Linked DNA regions of Drosophila melanogaster. The protein of the gene in region 3 interacts with the protein of the main gene of each other region in a pairwise test. Each region holds a gene or a part of one and is shown on either strand. Other genes may lie near its edges.

Region 1 (5,203 bases), on a different chromosome or scaffold from region 3:
TTTTTAAAAAATAATAAGTCCTGTATGTATACAATGCAATACATAAAGGTAGAGTATGTCCTAAAAAGAAAAATATCTTTCCGAATATATGTATATAATTTATAAAATAAGTGGATACATACATTTTTCGTAAGTATCCTAGAAGATTTGCCAACGTATCAGGTTTACAAAAATTGATTACCTATGTGCAGTTAACTTAACGGCAGTGCACTAACTAATCTGATTTGTGAAATAATGCAGATATAAAACATTTTTAAATAGAAATATATTTATACATCTGATTCTTCAACATCTAAGCACTCGTATAGAGTGCTTTGAATATATTCTAAATACATTGGCATGATCCAAGTTTTAAATCAGCCAAAAACTTGCTCCAAAAACAGGAAGATTCTACACAAATCGCCTCGCCCTTAAAGTTTCTGCCAAGTATTTGGGTGCGTGCGGATCAGTTCCGGCCTTCACTTAAGTTTTGCAATCTTTCCAAAGTCAAGAAATAAAACAAGTCGTTTGTAGGCATCGGTACAGATCGATTTTATTAGACTCAGGTCAAATTAAGATTCAAATTCGGGCGACAGTAAAAACCGAAACTAAAGTGTGTCCTTGATCCCAAACCTTGCAATTTAAATACGCACACGCAATAATTTTTATTAAACTTCATCGCTATGTCGTCATTATTACACTAATTATGTGCCTAAACAAATCCCTTGTGTCACACGATAATTCAAACACACAATCGCTCGACGTTAAATCTAAAAATGTTCGTTCGGTTTTGGGTTCGATTTACATAAAATTTCAAGTGACGATCACGTTCGCTAGAGATAATATGTTTAGAAAATTGTATTTGTAATTTAAACACATACATATGTATACATAGTGGTAAGTAGTAGCTGACACAGGACAAGTACAATTGCTCCTGCCGTCGCCTGCGCTCAATTAATGTGTAGTTAATAGTACATATTAGTTTCGGTATGGTTTCGCGCTGCTGTGATAGGTAACTTCTTATTGTAGGTTAAAGTAATATTAGGTTAATTGCTACACCGAATTTGCTTGCTTTGCACTACTTATGAACAGAACTGCGGAAATCAGAGTGACGGTTAGTATTAGGATCGATGTCCTTGTTGCTCGAGTTTAGTTGGGGATGTCTGAAGTCTGGATCGGGATCTGGATCTGGAGCTGGTTGGCTACGTACCTAATACATATTTGCTTAAATTGTTTATCGAATTGGATCACGGTTAGGATCATACAAACGCACTACTCGTCATTCCTCACCATTATTGTTATTACAGAATTAGTTATTATAATTACGATTTCGTGGATCCGCCATCGGTTTCGCTTGTTTTATTATTATTGTGTGGTTTCCGTTTTAATTTATTATATTTAAATTTTGTTTAATTGTATAATAAAATAATGATTCACAATCAGAGTTATTCAGCAGCAACCGGATTTGGTGTTTTCCACTGGACGTCCTTGATCGATTTTCACTTTGCTAGCGTTGTCAGTGGCGCTGGACGGCGGCCCGACGCGATTCTTGATCTCCGCCGCCATCGTCATGAAGGCCTGCTCAACGTTGGTGGCGCTCTTGGCCGAAGTTTCAAGGAATGGAATGCCTAACTGGGCGGCGTACTCCTGGAATTTTGGAAACAAAGACCCAGATTAGTATATACGTGCATCTATGATTCCCAGGACTAAACCAGCAATATACGCACCGCAGCTGTGGTGTGGTCGACTACTTTCTTGGTGGTCAAGTCGCTCTTGTTGCCAACCAGCAACTTGTTGACATTCTCACAGGCATACCGCTCGATCTCCTCCAGCCACTGCTTCACATTGTTGAAAGACTCCTGGTCCGTGCAATCGTATACGACAATGATGCCATGGGCGCCCCTATAATATGAAGACGTGATGGTGCGGAAGCGCTCCTGGCCAGCAGTATCCCACTGTAAACAGACTAATTAGCTCTGGACTAGATTGCCTCTGGCGTTTTTATGCTTACGATTTGCAGTTTAATGGTCTTTCCGTCGAGTTCTATAGTCCTGATTTTCTGCAAGATAAAGGTTTATGAGTCAGACATAAAGAATTTTCACAAATTTCCGGTTGGCTTACGAAATCCACTCCGATTGTGCTGATATAACTTTCTGTATATGTGTCATCGGCAAATCGCAACAGAAGACAGGACTTTCCAACGCCCGAGTCTCCAATAAGCAGCAACTTAAAGAGATAATCGCTGTGGATTTGGAGATAGTTAATATAGTTAATGTTATAAAATAGTTATATAGTTAATAAATTATAGTTAATTTAATAGTTAATGATATAAATTTGTGCTGCGATGTGGGAATAGTTCAGACCCTATGCTGAAACATATAAAACTTCAGAGAAATCTAAATAAAACTGATGATGCATATTTGCGATAGTGATATTACAAGACGAAATGTTTAAAATCAGAGTGTAAAAGGTTTAGTATACATTTAAAGGGAAATAAGTTGGATGACAATCAGTTAGAAATCATTGATTCAAGCAAAACATTTAGAGAGGTGTTTTGCGGGCATAGTTTAGTCGGGCAGATACTAATATATACATAAAACCGGTTTGGTTTAGGCTTTATCTTATCATGCTATGTCCAACATCAACCCCCAATTGCTGAATGATATGCGATAGTGTTCCAATCCTCTGCACACATGTATGCTGGCTATTGAAGGAGGCTTTCTGGAGAGTGCGAACCAAGATCGGTTCAGATTTAATTGCCTTGAGTGAGAGCGGCAATTAAGTAGCACTGGAATGGCCTTTGATTACGTAGCACTGCGCTGGGGGTGGGAAAGGCTCTCCACGCAGGTGACTCATCCGCCCGACTAGCGATTTGGCCCGTCAACTGGGATCTCGCTGTATATATGTGTGGACTTTATACATATGCAGATTCCGATGAGAGTTTCGAACGCGCTTTTCATCGCCTCGCCCGTGGGCACTACATTGAAATCCAGCTGAAACACACAGTTTTGGTTATGGTTTCTCGATTGGGTCGGTTGTTAGGTCCGAGTGTGTATTTTGTTTTTAGCAAATGGTCTGTTTTTTTGGAGTTGCCAACGAGGGCAAAAGGGAGTGGAGTGGGGCTGCTCGATAATGAATGGGAATGAAACGTAGCAGAAATGACGTCGCAGAAAAAATAAAAGAAACTATTTTCGAAGGCCAGAAAAGGAAGTGGAAGCCCAGTCACTGTTTTAACTCCAGATAACTGCGCATAATTACGTGTGACGACTTACTATTCCGGATTCACAGATGACATTTTCTGGCTTTTTCACAAGATTATATATTTGCCACGAACAAATATTCGATTTCTGGCCCTGGACTGGCTGCTGTTCAGAGTGTTTTTATTTGATTTGCGCGTTCCGAAATACTGGAAATCGACACGCACTCGGCTTGTGTTGTGTTTTGCAGTTCGCTATTGTAATTATTGCAGCGAATTTAAATGGGAAATACGTTTATTTCCACAAATTCGACGGCCGAGAACGAGAACAATGGCGACTGAAAAAATGACGAAGTGGCATTAGCGGCAGTGTTGGAAAATGCGCGGGGCCCTCTTCCAACCAGGGCTACACATTATCTTGTCTACGGAGGTGAGTGGGCGGAACCAGAGAAGAAAATATATGGATTATCGCCAAATGACCCCTAACACACCCCATATAAAAACAAAAATACTTAACTTTTGCATACAATCTCTTATGGTACATCATTTGTTTCTAAACACGGCCTTTAACATTTGAGTGTTTGCATAGAGAACACATTAAAGATAATAATAATAATACGCGTAATAGTATATGAAAGAAGATTCGATAGGCGGGTGTAGCGCCTGGGGGAATGCATCTGGCAGATCCGATATACATATGTATGAATTGGGCCGCTACTCCAGCGAATTTAGCGTGAGCAGCTGCTTGAGCACCTTCGTCTGCGAGGTCTCCCGGATCTCGCCCGCCAGGAACATCTCGTCCACCACACTGTACACCTTGTAGAAGTTGAAGACCAGATCCAGCTCGCACACATTATGGAAGTATTCGTTGAGCACCTCCACGAAGTTGTGAATGGCCTCCAGATAGCACAGGTTGTTGTCGTTTACGTCCACGCAGATGCAGAAGTACAGACCCGCATAGCGTCGGTAGACGATCTTGAAGTTGCGGAACTACAAAGGCAAAAGTGTGATAAAAGGGTGATTCAAAAGAACATATGGACTCGATCCCACCTCCACAAAGTTGGTGTGCTTGGCATCGCGCACTGTGACCACGGCATGCACCTCCTCAATCAGTTTCTGCTTCTCGTCGTCATCGAAGTTCATATACCACTTGGCCAGGCGAGTTTTTCCAGCTCGGTTTTGTATAAGTATGAATCGTATCTGGGCGAATGGAAGGTCAAATAGGGGTCTAAGCTTATAGCTGGCTAGTTGCTTACCATTTTTCGGGAAATTGGTTAAACCGTTTCCTGCTTATTTACAACTTTTTTTGTTTCGAGAATGGGGGCGAAAAACTGATTATGAGCAAATTGTGTATCACTGGGACCAGGGCTACCACTACTGTTCCGGAACAGCTGTTACCTCGTCAGTGTTGCAAACAGTTCGCGCAGAAAGCAAACGAGTTGGCAGACCCGCGCGCTGTATTACGAAGTTTCACTTTCATATTTGTTTTGGCCACCACTCCAAACTAGTCATTTACCAAAAATGTTGGCCTCTCGCTTGAATCTCCTGTTGCCCCGCGTATCCTGGCTGCGCGGTTGCTCAACGACAGCGGTGGGCCAGAAACATCAGCGCCAGGTGCCCACGGAGTTCGCCGTACACGATCCTCTGCAGGCTCACGCTCTAAAGGAACAGTGCATCCTGGTTGACGCCAACGACCAAGCCATTGGGGCCGCCTCTAAGGCAGACTGCCACCGTGTGCATCCAGAGACGAATGATGTTAAGCTCCATCGCGCCTTCAGTGTTTTTCTCTTCAATTCTCAGGGAGAGATGCTAGTGCAGAAGCGATCGTCTCACAAGGTGAAATTAAAGGGTAATCCCCTTATTACAAGGTCCATAATCCTCTGTATCCTTAGATAACCTTCCCAAACACCTACACCAACGCGTGCTGCAGCCATCCGCTTTACGAAATCGAACAGGAACGTCAGGAGCGCAACGCACAGGGCATCCGTGTGGCCGCTCAACGACGTCTCAACTACGAACTGGGCATTC
Region 2 (3,344 bases), on a different chromosome or scaffold from region 3:
AGACGCTTCAGCGGAAGAGGGAGCACGGCGGCGATTCGGGAAATGGCAACGGCAACAGCTCCACGCCCAACGGCAACAGCACCAACAGCAAAAAGCGCCCGCGCTTGGACCCCAACGAGCTGAACTGAGCTGGGCGGCAGGACCTTAAGCCAAGCACCCGATGGACATCCCCACGCAGCACTACTATCCCGAGCGAACACGCAGCCGCCACCATTCATTTACACTCATATACATATATATTAAATAAAATATACTAAGTACAAAGGAGTTGCAGTCGAACGGTCCTTTCAAAGTTTTGTATCACGCTGATCATTGGTCGAAAGCCCCAGTATTTCTTTAGATTTCAGTTGTACCCAAATTAACACAGCTAAATAATGTTTTTGTGACCAACATATGCATACCTCCTTTTGCAAGAAAATACCATCATTCGTATAAAATGTCGAGTACAAAATTTTGTAAGCTTTGTTACTGCTAGTTCATGAATCACGGTATTTTTTTTTCCATTCTTTGGACTTACCTTAGGAAAATATACATGTACTTCTCGCAAAGTTTGTAACCTAAAATGTAATGCGTTTATAATCTGGGAATTGATCTGCATAACCAATTGTATACACTATTATTGTAAATTGGCAATGAATTATTTTGGCAGAAGGAAGATCGACTGAATTCCAGTACAACACATTTATAATAGCACATAATGTGAGTTCCAATAGATTTACTTTTAAAGACAAAGATTGGATGTGATTTGATTACGGTACTCTAAGATTAGTGGTGTCCCAGGTCCTTGGGGTCGGGCTTGCCGTACTGCTTCTCCCACCAGGTCACAAACTCCTTCTTGCGCTGCTCCCGCTTGGCAAAGTACTCGGGGTACTGGGCCTTCTCCAGGGGATGCCAGTAGTCCAGGACCCAGTCGGGCGGAATCACCTCTCGTTCGAAAGCACAGCCACCGGCACTGTTGGCAACTACAACGATAACACACGTTAGATACACAGACATATGACCATACGTTCAATTTGTTTACAGTTTCGGGGCTGGAAATGCCTTGTCTCGAAAAGCTCCCTTTGTCCACAGGCTAGGAGGCGGATGCCCTCGCCCAGATCTTTGGAGCGGTTTTCGTCGAAGCGAGCACGCAGCTGCACAGCGCGGTAGCGGTAGACATTGCTGATGGGCATTAAGAAACAACCAAGATGCACTTGCTCATTATATAATATTTGGGAATTCTGCGCCGAGTGCACTCACCGTCGGTCGTACCACGACTCTAAGTTGCGCAGTGCTCGCTTGTACAGGCTGCACACCTGGCGCTTGTGCGAGACGATTGCCAAGGGAACTTGGGCCATCGTTTTTTACTATATTGGTTAAATTGTATTAATTTGCTACCGCAGCCGAGGCAACAACAACAACAGCTGTCAAAAGTCCAGTGCTCTAAAGCCCTGCGCCTGAAAATATGTGTTGCGAAGCGAAAAATAATTTTAGAGAACGGCAACTCTGAAATGAATGGAAATTCAAAAAATATTTATATATTTGATTTAAATTTTCTATACAAAAGCAATGGCTATCTTTGCATTTTATACAAGCTTTTGTTATTGCAAGAAATCGAAATGATCCTGTCTAGAGTAGATACCTATAACCAAACACTTTTAATGCTTAAAAGCCTTCTTGCTACCCTATTTTATTTATAAAATAAGACTATTTTGACAAATCTGTTATAATTGTATATTAATTACAATTTTTTTTAGGAATAGTTAAAGAAACCAAGAAAGTCAGTCCCATTTTTGCATTTTTTGCAATTCCCTTTGAATTTGCGAGGAACAAGAAAGTAATTTTGTAAATACATCTAGCGAAATGCTTTAATAAATTATAACTGTTAACAAATACTCTTAAGATATAAATATAAAATGTCGTTAGTCCTCTGGCTGCATAACATTCATTATGCATTGAACAATATGCTCTGGTATTTTCAGAGGCGTTTCGCACAACTCGCCCGTTTTTTTGTCCAGCATGTAGATTTCGTTGAGCACACGATCCTCGTGCTCTGGATCCAAGGACGAGACGAGAGCCAGAGATCCTTCCGCAAGCTCGGCGAGAATTTGTTCGATATCCGGTTCGGTAGTGGACGGCGGAATGGGGTCATCCGGCGTTATAAGTTCATGATCTTGGTCTTCAATGAAGTTTATTAAATATGTCTCTGCCTTTCGATTGGGCGTCTCTGGGGCGGGTTCGACGTCGCTGACATAGCTTAGGGTACCATCATCCATATTGATAATAGTTTTATCACGTGGCTTGTTTACATCTACGTCATATTCCACCGGATCATCCATGAGGAGGCCATTGAGCTCAGCCTGCAGTTCTCCCCCCGTTGGCAAATGACTACTCGTTTGTTCGGTTTTGATCGTTTTTTCCTGCTTAATGGCCGCCACATCAGACAGGCTTTCCGTTGCCGCTGGAACTGAAACCTTGGGAGATCGTCGCTTAGCCTTTGGCTTACGTTTGGCCGGCGCACTTCCGTCGTTCTCATCGGTCTCCAACTCCTTTCGCCTTTTGGCCCAGGCGTGCTTGCCGAGCTTTGTACTCGTTACGTGCTCGTTTTCGTAGACAACATCACCATCGTTTAGTGCCCTTGAGGCCTTGCTTTGCTGCTGTACTCGGGAACGCTAAATATAATTAAAAAATGTAATGGTGATTACAGTCAGCTACAAATTATTTACCTTCTTAGGGTTTCCCGGAAGAGCTCGTGCGATTTCCCTCCACTTGCGATCATTTTCTTCCCTTTCGCGGTCCTCCTCTTCCAGTTGATCCTTGAGCTCCTGAATGTTGAAGGCCTTAGGATAGAGGAGTGCTTTGTTTATGAGCTGCCCATTGGTTCGCTCTTCCTTTTTGTACTTCAGCTTTAGATCCCGACGTGAACGTGTTGGAAACATTTGGCACATCAGCGAGAAGTCCGTCCCAATGATCTGCAGGCTGCGGTAGAAGCGGACGGTCTCATCGGAGGTCCAGTATGGCGTGCGCTTGTGGCGTTTATAGAATCCATTATCTCCTGCAAAGTATAAAATTCGTTAAGTATTCAACTTTTATGTATTAACTCTGCGGCGCACCCGTAGTCTCGTCCATTAGGATTAACGATGAGTTGGCTAGCACCTTGCGGGCCTCCACCTCGGCCGTGGTTTCGATCTCCAATGTTTTCTCATCAATGATCATCTCGCCATTGGCATCAAGCTTTAGCTGAGGCACTAACATAGCGGATGTGGACTCTCCCTTGGGTTCCAATAGTTGACTGACTGCGGGCTTGGAATCATCGCCACCAGACTCATCCTTGATGGTCGTCACCGACTGTTTGGGCACCATGG
Region 3 (5,435 bases):
CATGTAGAAGCTCCGATTCCTTTGCAGCGTGAACTCAATTGCCACATCGCCGGTCATTTTCTGCATCATTCCCTTGGGGTTGTATCGCCTTTGCGAATCGTTCTCCACCAGCACCACGGACATTTGCGTGAACGACCAGCCGGATGGCGTGTTCACGTGCTCATTGGGCGCAATCGGCTTGCGCTGATCATCGTAGATTAGCGCCACATTCTCCTGCCCCTCCTGGCCATTGAGACCCAGCTCGATGTCGCAAGTCACTCGCTCGCTTGGCCAGTTTCGGGCACTGTCCACACACCAACTGGCCAGCTGGAGGTTTTGAGCGTACAGGGTGATGCTTCCGTTGGCGTAGACCATCAGCTCATAGGATTGGAGGACCTGACCCATGGATTGCAGGGCGCCGTTGAGGACGTTCATATGCGGCTTCCATATACGAAGGTCAGGATGTTCGAAAGATTCCAGCGAGCCGAAGTCCTCGGGTTTCCAGACAAGACGACTATCCCTCCAGTGCTGCATGGATAGGCGAATGTATCTTTACTGTTTCACACTAAATATTTGCATTTCGAGCTTATCTTTCATTACCATCATCATGTGCATGCGGGTCTGAAGCAAGGAACTGGTTTGCTCGTAGGCGAGGGAGCGCGTTTGGAAGTGGAACGATATGGAGCTGAGATTAGCCGGCATGCTTGCATTTTCCGCCTGGATATTCAGATGGCTTAGCAGTTTTTCCGTCTTCGTTTCCTCCTTCACTATCGGTGCAATTTCCGACCCTGAAATGGGTCAGTTTTAGAACATACTTACAGATATAGACTTATAGCTTACTATATATCATCCTTACCATAACCATCGAAGCCACAGTCGTAAAACCACCGCGCCGTATTGGAACCAAAGGAGCTGAAACTCAGATAGTTGATGACCAGCGGTGCTTCATCGATGAACTGCAGCAGGGGCTCCTTCTTGAAGCCGGGTATGTAAACAAACAGCTCGCCATCTGGAAATATACTGTGCGTTGGAGGGGCAGGGAATACCCGATAAGATGGGGGAACTCACTCTGGTTTTGGACAATCTCAATTGGCGTCGGGTCGTACAGCGATACCAAGTTCGGCTCTTGATTCGTGGCCACCCGCCTCATTCCCATAGCATTCCGGATTGCGGAAAACGTATTTCCGCCGGCTCCTATCACTGCAAGCGGAATAAAGATATCAATTGAATATTTAGGTAGGGTTCCACTAGAAAGAGCTCATTGAAATGCTGGAATTAAAACTGAATATTATTGATTTCACCCACCGATCTCGTAAACGCGATCATTTGGGCGCGGGTGATTCGTCACCGAGAGCAGGATGTGCGCATCCATGGCGGTCAGGACGTAGAATTTCAAGTGCAGCCGCTCTCCGGCCTTCCTGTTGTTGTTGCTCAGCTCGCGCAGCATGTAGAACCTCCGGTAGCCATAGCCCGTATTCGGAACGGAGTAGGTTTCGCAGGAATCCAGCTGGGCGAAGCTCACGTTGAATCTCGTTGACAGTTGTCCCGATTCCGCTGGGTCAATCAATATCAGTAGCAGGCACAGGCAGCAGTATGTTGCCAAGGAGCCCTTGATAAGGTTGTACATCGTATCGACCTGGACTTCTACTCCTCACAGCGGCTTAACTACGACTGAATTAGGAAGCCGACTTAAGTGAAGTGATAAGAAACGATGAACTAATGGTTGTTTCGATAAATAATACTGTTTTTTTTTTTTAATTTGAAGAGTATTTCTCAAAACCTCCTCGCATGAACGTTTATGCAAGTAGAGTGAAATTTCTTAATTGTACATAATCTCTGTTTATTGAAAACGGATACGCATATATACGTGTTCGATTTTAAAAATGAAAAAAAAGCTAAAAATGCGCGCCAATATATAACTGTGCTTTCCCTGCCGCCTAGTGTACCCGTTCGCGCGGCATTTTGGCTCTAAACGCGTACGGTCATACTGAACTTCAGACCTGTTATCAACATTCAGAAATTTCCACTTTTGCCTAGCTTAATTTACATTTGTTGGCTCGCCTTCCGAACCGAGCTTACTCCAGGTGTGGCAAAGGTACCGCTGCTGACCCCGAAGGACATGCCCGATGACACGCAGGATGCCAAGGCGCAGAAGTTGGCCGCGGCAAGGAAAAAGGTGCGACAACCAGTGCCACACACAATTGTTTTGCTCTTGTGACGTGGACACATATTGGCCGACTAATATTGATTTTGTTTAACACGCTTCTGTGGACACAGCTGAAGGAGTACCAGCAGCGCGCCAGCAACAACAATGGGCAGCCGGGAGCAGAGGAGCCGGTGGCTGCCACCACGCAATCGCACTCGTCCACTGTGAGCATATCCAGCAATCTGTCGGAACGGTCAGACAGCGAGATAAATGTGAACGGTGGAGGAGCAGGTGGGACGCAGCCGCCGGAGCAGTCTGCCCTGCCCACAGCCGCTTCTTATTTTGCCCAAAACGAGTCGGAACACAATGGTGGACTGGCAGATGCCTCTAGCTTGCAGGCCATCCAGGTGATCATCGCTGAAAAGGCCCAGCTCAATGCGGAGCTGACCAAGGTTCGCCTGGCTTGCCGGGAGCGTGAGCTAGAGCTGGAGGAGCTTCGCATCCTCAAGGATCAGAATCAATTGCGTCTGGAGCAGCTACAACAGCACTGCCAGGATCAACAGTCGACCGGTGAGCAGCAGCGACAGCAGTACGCGCAACTCCAGGCACAACTGCTACAATCGCAGGCACAAATCAAGGACCAACAGTCGCATCTCAACGAACTAGAGGCCCAGCTAAAGCAGAGCAACCAGCATCAAGAGGAACTGCAGCAACAGCTTTCCCAAAAATCGAACGAACTCGAGATGGCGCAGCTGAAGCTGCGGCAGCTCTCAGACGAGTCTAGCGTCACCACAGACAACCGAGTGGAGTCGCTGGTGCAAACACAATACATGTACGAGCAACAGATACGCGACCTCCAAGCGATGGTGGGTCAACTAACGCAGGACAAGGAGCAGGCAGCTGGTCAGTATCAAAACTATGTGCAGCATCAGAGTGGCGAGATCGCCAAGCTCAACGAACGAAACACAGAACTCTCAGAGGTACTGAACTCACTGAGGGAGCGAGAACGCCAGCTTGTGGAGCACGTGGGCGCCCTGGAGCGGGATATACAAAAGAACATCAGCCTGCAGGCCCAATTTAAAGAGGCCAGTCAAGTGCAGCCATCCAAGGAAGAAACCAGCGAGCAGGTAAGTAAGCCAAAAAAATATGGAAAACCTGTTTAATCTCCTAGTTCAATTTCAGAAAGCCTTAAAAGATGAACTGGCTGTCTTGAAAGAGCAGATCGAAAACTTCGAGTTTGAGCGCCACGAATTCCAGCTGAAGATCAAGTCGCAGGACGATCAGCTGCAGTTAAAGAACTCGGCTTTAGACGAGTTGGAAAAGCAACTCGAACGCTTGCAAGCTGAGCAGCCCGATCAGTCCAAGCTGTTGGCCACCATGGAGTCAGACAAAGTGGCCGCATCGCGTGCCCTAACCCAGAATGTAGAGATGAAAAACCAGTTGGACGAACTGCAGCAGCGATTTGTTCAGTTGACAAACGACAAAGCCGAGCTGGTCATCCGCTTGGATTCAGAAGAGTTTGCCAACCGAGAAATCCGCCAGAACTACAACAGCATGGAGCAAAAGCTTCAAGCAAATGAGGAGCGCTTTAAGTTCAAGGATGAGGAAATGATTAGACTATCGCACGAGAACGTGGAACTACAACGTCAGCAGTTAATGTTGCAACAGCAGCTGGACCGTCTCAGGCATTATGAGGTGGGTTGGACTGGGATTAAAATTTAACTGACTTTATATCCCATTATCATTTCTTTCAGGCAAAAGCTTATCACGCCGGTGAGGAAACCGAAAAAGAGAATGGAGCAGATGCACCGGAAAACGAAGCAGAGGAAGCGAAGGAAGTTGGTCTTTTGCATAATCATTCGCACGATCACTCTCATCAGCATTCCGACGGTCATTGTCATGATAATGACCACGATCATTCCCATGAACATAACCATCATAATGCTGGTGATCATGGTCATCCACATGATCATCCGCACGATCACACACATGATCATTCACATAGCCATCCACACGATCATCAGCATGATCATCCACATGATCACGGCCAGAACCACGCCCACAGACAAGCAGCTGAAACGCTGCCCACCGCCGAGGCCGTGGAACGCTTGCAATCGCGTTTCACCACACTGATCAGCCAGGTCGCCGACTTGACGGAGGAGAAGCACAGCCTGGAGCATCTGGTGCTCCAGCTGCAGAGCGAAACCGAAACGATTGGCGAGTACATTGCCCTCTATCAAACGCAGAGGCGCATGCTAAAGCAGCGTGAGTACGAGAAGGCCGCCCAAATGCGTCTCTTGCAAGCGGAGCGAGAGCAGCTGCGCGAGAAGATTGAGGCACTAAACAAGCTGGTGGTCAGTTTGGGCGTGGAGCTACCCGCAGATGCCGCCCAGGCAAAGCAACCAGAAGCGGCCGCAGGTAGCGAACACACTCCTGGCGAAGGTGAAAACTCGCAACAGATCATCAACAAGATACAGGACATTATCAGCGAGATCAAGGAGAACACGGAGCAGCCAAGCCACAACCATGCAGGAGACCATCTCAACTGTTGTATGGGCAAGTTCGAGGTAGTCTAAAAGAAGTGCAATTATCGCCTACCTACGTATAATCATTACCCTTTTGCTACTGTATTTAATTGTAATTGTAATTGTACTTTGTTCTTCAGAGTCTTTTGTAAATGTTTCCAACAACTTTGTGCGAATAAACGTAGTTTGCATCTAAGAGGAATCTATAAAATGAGTTCCCCTAAAAGCGTATTAACAAATAATTAATTGAAACGTTGTTTTATTCACAAATGAACATGTAAAAATTAGACGTACTTTTAAATTCCTATTGGCATCTTTGGGTGATGATGATGATGGAGTGTCTTCCTTCCGATAGCGCTGGATGAACTGAATATGCCCTCTATTGCAGGCAAAAAGTAATCCGATGTCAGCTTTTAGTCTATAAATTAAACTTATCAGGGCCTGACGATTTAAAAATATTATTCATATTAAAAATGGTAAAAAGTGGTATTGAAAACCAATGAAATTACAGAAACAACATTAAAGCCTATTAAAAAATTCGTCTATCTACTTTTTGGCCTTGGCCTTGCCTTTCGAGCCATTGCGCAACTTGTTCTTCAGACTTGGCTCCACCAAACTGGTGGGCCTGCAGCTTCTACTCGGCCTTGCGCTGTTGTTGCAGAAAGAACTAGACATATCCGTATTTTCTGATTTCTTATTAGCCGCAGTTCGGCTTCTAGTTCTTATAGATGGCATTTCCTCGACGAGAAAGGATTTCGGAGTGCTGGTGCTTCCGGCCATTTTGC
Region 4 (4,403 bases), on a different chromosome or scaffold from region 3:
TTTTATTGTTTTGTAATTTTGTAATTGGTTTTTTTTCGCAGCTTCTGGCACATTCAAAACTTACCAAATGGTCTCCAGCTTTTTGTGTTTAGAATGACCAAAACAATCTCTAGCAACAATATTGAGCTTATTCGATTCTCTGCAAAGACATTTCACCCTTAAGAATTATTCTAGCATTTTTGTTTGGTTTTTTTTTTTTTTTTTTTTTTTGTATTTTTTAATGGTGATTGTGTGTGGGTAGTTGTCGGTAGTTCTTAGTGAGACAGCAGATAGGAAGAAATAGGAGCGTTGAACTCATGAGTTGTTGGTTTGGGGCGAAAGAATTCAATTCAATTAATTTCCAACTTTAGCTGGATGTCATAGACTACTACATTGACTAAAACCTTGGCGAGCTGTCGGACAATAATGCTGATTTTGGTTTTGGGTTAATTAATGATAATTTTATTAGATTTATTCCACAACACACCGAAAATTGCATTTGTAAATGCTACGGAAAAATGTGGTTTGCTAACCTACAAATTATTTTATAATATATTGAGATTTTTCAAGTATGATTTCATATGGCTGAGTTTTAACCTATTAATAAATATTATTACAGATGGTTTGCCCAGATAAGATAAGAGGAATACCAATTGCTACAAAATCCGTTTCAGTCAATAATACAGATTAAAGTCCAAGTTTAGTAAGAGATATAAAATATCACTAAAATACGTTGTTTTTTATAGTTTACAGAATCATGACTGTCTTGTTAGTAATTCAATCCTTTAAGTTTCCCTGATACTTGTTAAACGTTTTCAGTTGCTATTGCAGCCCTGCCAAATATTTTGCACCCCACTGTACACCCACTGCAGTACACGACTGTATCAAATGCCGCGTAGGAAAATAAACAACACAAACCCACACACAGACAGATTTTCCGTTGGCGAAACACTTTTCTGTATGAACGCAGTCTAGTGTGAAAAAAAAATATTACGAAAATCAGCACGCAGATTGGCGTTCCGGCTGCCGATTTTTTATTAAACAGCAAAATTAGGCTAAAAATCGATTTAAGACCACTTAGTATGCATCGACTGCACATGTGTGTGTGTGTGTGTGTGTGCCCGAGACGAAGACGACTTACATACAAACACAAAATGCACGTACGCCTGTGGGTGTCTATGTGGGAAAAGAAGTATACAAACATACATATGAAGTAACTGTTTTTCTATTTTTTTTCATTTTGTTTTTGCACAGCAAAATAATTGCCTTGGGTGGGCACAAAAGCCAGTGGGACTTAATTTAAACGATAGTTGGCTGTTATCCGGCCTTTGGGAACTTACGTTTTTCATGTACGGCGCCTCGAGCATCGCCTCCACATCAAAGTCCTCGGCCATATTCGAAAATTACTTCGCTGCAATTCGGGGTGCTCCGTGAAAAAAGTCCCCTGCTCGGTGTCTGGCACGTTTGGAGAAATCAAAATGTGGTGGGGACGCACAGCGGAATTCGTAGGACGACTTACGAACTTCTCTTTTGGCTTTTGCGATTTTTTAATTAGAATTTTTGCCAATTTTCAACCAGATTTTCTTCTCTAGCGTGGCTGCTTGTTTTCGGCTTCAGGGTTGTCACAGAACTTATCGATGATGAACAATCGATAACTAGTGACCGTACTTCAAAAAGTTTTTAAGTGCTTTGCAAAACGTCGATCTATCGATACCGAGAAAAACATCGTTAAGTATTGCTATGGGAATTGATGTCACATCTCTAATCAAATACCATCACGTCGAAATACAGTAAAATTCTGTTGGTAAACATAAGCAAAATTAAGGCTGGCAATTAATGCGGCAGCATGCAACCAGTTGATTACAAATTTGCAAGCATAGTCAACCTGGCCGAAAGCCTGCTGAATAGATTTGGGGCCGATTCGCATAGATAAGCGAGTAACAAGCATCTACAGCTGCTGTTGAGTCATCATCTTTTAGCCAAATAAGCCAAAAAACAAGGCGAACAGCCGTTGGCCAGCTAGTGATAGAGCCCCAGGTGAGCCACAGGTGAGAGGCGTTGTCTTCGCTGGGGATGGCGTAAGCTGATCCAACGAACCACCACCAGCCAGCAAAGTATAATCGTTACGCGTCGCTGACTAGGTGTGTCTAAGCTCCGACTAACTTTCGTCTACTTTCGCAGAGCACACACACACTTGCCCACACCCAGCGACTCAAAAACCCCAAAACCAACCCATTTTTGGCAACATCCCCAATGGAGGACTACAAGTTCCTGTTCAAAATCGTCCTGGTGGGCAATGCTGGTGTTGGAAAAACATGCCTAGTGCGCCGCTTTACTCAGGGTCTATTTCCACCTGGCCAGGGTGCCACCATTGGTGTGGATTTCATGATTAAGACCGTGGAGGTGGAGGGCGAGAAGATCAAGCTACAAATCTGGGACACCGCCGGCCAGGAGCGGTTCCGATCCATCACGCAAAGCTACTATCGATCGGCTCACGCCTTGATCCTGGTGTACGACATCAGCTGCCAGCCCACATTTGACTGCCTGCCGGACTGGCTGCGCGAGATCCAGGAGTATGCCAACTCCAAGGTACTCAAAATCCTGGTGGGTAACAAGACGGACAGGGATGATCGAGAGATACCCACCCAGATTGGCGAAGAGTTCGCCAAGCAGCATGACATGTACTTCTTGGAGACATCCGCCAAGGAGGCAGAGAATGTAGAGCGTCTGTTCTACGAGATTGCCGCCGAATTGATTGGTCAGGCAAGGAGCAAGGATGGCAGTAGTTCGGCCGCAGCGGCAGCCGCCCAGCGTCAGTCGGAGGGCAGCTCCATCGGACTGGGGAGCTTCAGTGCCAAGGCAGCGCAGAGCAATTGCTGTGGCGGACTCGCCAGCGGCGGCTCCAACTCTAGTCAAGGCGGCTGAGCAGCTGCAAACTGAACTGGAAGCTGAGCAGCTAATCTGTAACTTGTTAAGGACTAATCGTGATATTCCATTTATCTTTTATTACCACAATGCTCCCACATTCTAACACATACATACATATGTTAAATTTTGTTTTTATAAGCATGATTATGACGTGATCGTTTGCCTTTGTCTTTGTAACGATTCCTATTAGATTGTTAAAACACATCGGCTTCAAATACCTTTAAATGTAAAGGTATTTAGAGCAATTCTCTTCGCTTTCACTAAACTACGATAACAACAAACATTTAAAGTACAATGTGCAAACGGATCTGGAAACTGTGCAGCTAATCTGTTATCTGTTATCGTGATATTCTGTTCATGCTTAAGGGTTTATTATTTTAATTACAAGACTAAAAAAATTGATTATTTCTGTATCCCCTTTGGTTTACAGAAAGAAATTGATTGTAAAAACTAATTTACTATTTATCACGATTAAGATCCTATGGGAAACTAGCTGTCAATGACTAAGGATGCTAAATATTTGTGTTACAAGAACTCCATTGGAGGTGTTTAAGACCGCCTGATTTTCTTGATTTGTATTATATAGACGTATGTATTGATCTGATTATGGATCGTTTACCAAGTGAGCATCACAGCCAATGCTACGAAGAATTTATGATATCAAAAATGCTAGACTCACCATTTAGTTTATTTCAATTAATTCCCAAGGAGTATTGCATGTTTTATACATTACATTTTTTGTATACATACACAATTTATGCATATTTATTTGCAATTATTTTTACATATTTTTACGATTAATGTGCAATCTTTGGTAATGCAATTTTTAAATGATATTCGTAATAGTGTTTAAGGTGATTTTATGACATTCCAAAAATTAAGAATTAGAAACTATGAATAGACCAGAAAGCTGAATAAAAAATAAACTAAATACAAGTAAAATGGAAAAGAGTGTTTAATTAATTTACAGCTGATTAATTTACAGCTGAGTAAAATATAAAATATGTTGATTAAGTATATCAACTTTTTACGAATGCGGAAAAAGTTGTTGATTAAAAAAGCTGCAATATATATCTTGTTATTATATAAATATCACAATAATTGGAATGTAAACTTTTAGCCGATAAATAATTACAAATGTTTTTAAAACAGTATTTTGTACAATAATGCATATAAAAAAAAAAAATCCCATCGATTTCAGGATCTAACTAACCACCTTAATAATTTCGTGCAAAAATCGTTCCACTCCGATTCTGAGTTCAAATAGCTCTTCCACCTTAAGTTATAGGTACTGCAAATATTATTAAGTGCTTTAGCCCACAGAATGTTTTTCTTCATTACTTTAAGAGTTAAAAATCGGCCGATCGAATTTTCATTGTGGGAAAATAAAGTTTTTTAATATACTGCAAATGCATCTCTTATCAGATTATTAGGGTTGGGACACTCGAAACAAGTGGTTTTTTTTTTTTAAATAAAACGCTTGCAGAGCTTTGAAT

Evidence for each region.
Region 1: the proteins of GM130 (region 3) and Rab1 interact in a two-hybrid assay, tested with the Drosophila melanogaster proteins (one study listed by BioGRID).
Region 2: the proteins of GM130 (region 3) and ND-B22 interact in a two-hybrid assay, tested with the Drosophila melanogaster proteins (2 studies listed by BioGRID).
Region 4: the proteins of GM130 (region 3) and Rab30 interact in a two-hybrid assay, tested with the Drosophila melanogaster proteins (one study listed by BioGRID).

Annotation. Positions count from the first base shown.
Region 1 is NT_033777.3:21,265,520-21,270,722, forward strand, and holds Rab1 (Rab1), read right to left. Parts: upstream 3,542-5,203; 5' UTR 3,275-3,541; coding exon 3,252-3,274; intron 2,276-3,251; exon of another isoform or gene 2,222-2,275; coding exon 2,101-2,221; exon of another isoform or gene 2,039-2,100; coding exon 1,991-2,038; exon of another isoform or gene 1,935-1,990; coding exon 1,707-1,934; exon of another isoform or gene 1,627-1,706; coding exon 1,429-1,626; 3' UTR 510-1,428; downstream 1-509. Other genes in the region: AP-2sigma (adaptor protein complex 2, sigma subunit), read right to left, coding at 3,890-4,165, 4,226-4,375, 4,432-4,434; Idi (Isopentenyl-diphosphate delta isomerase), read left to right, coding at 4,697-5,011, 5,068-5,203.
Region 2 is NT_033779.5:13,369,603-13,372,946, forward strand, and holds ND-B22 (NADH dehydrogenase (ubiquinone) B22 subunit), read right to left. Parts: upstream 1,425-3,344; 5' UTR 1,338-1,424; coding exon 1,240-1,337; intron 1,162-1,239; coding exon 1,022-1,161; intron 963-1,021; coding exon 766-962; 3' UTR 501-765; downstream 1-500. Other genes in the region: CG31855 (uncharacterized protein), read left to right, coding at 1-128; Bdp1 (B double prime 1), read right to left, coding at 1,902-2,651, 2,706-3,034, 3,093-3,344.
Region 3 is NT_033778.4:22,124,026-22,129,460, reverse strand, and holds GM130 (golgi matrix protein 130 kD), read left to right. Parts: upstream 1-1,958; 5' UTR 1,959-2,098; coding exon 2,099-2,155; intron 2,156-2,256; coding exon 2,257-3,252; intron 3,253-3,307; coding exon 3,308-3,820; intron 3,821-3,879; coding exon 3,880-4,701; 3' UTR 4,702-4,894; downstream 4,895-5,435. Other genes in the region: NtR, read right to left, coding at 1-507, 580-767, 836-988, 1,048-1,179, 1,285-1,606; mei-S332 (meiotic from via salaria 332), read right to left, coding at 5,197-5,435.
Region 4 is NT_033779.5:7,029,935-7,034,337, reverse strand, and holds Rab30 (Rab30), read left to right. Parts: upstream 1-1,731; 5' UTR 1,732-2,101; intron 2,102-2,160; 5' UTR 2,161-2,232; coding exon 2,233-2,904; 3' UTR 2,905-3,845; downstream 3,846-4,403. Other genes in the region: caper, read right to left, coding at 1,320-1,373.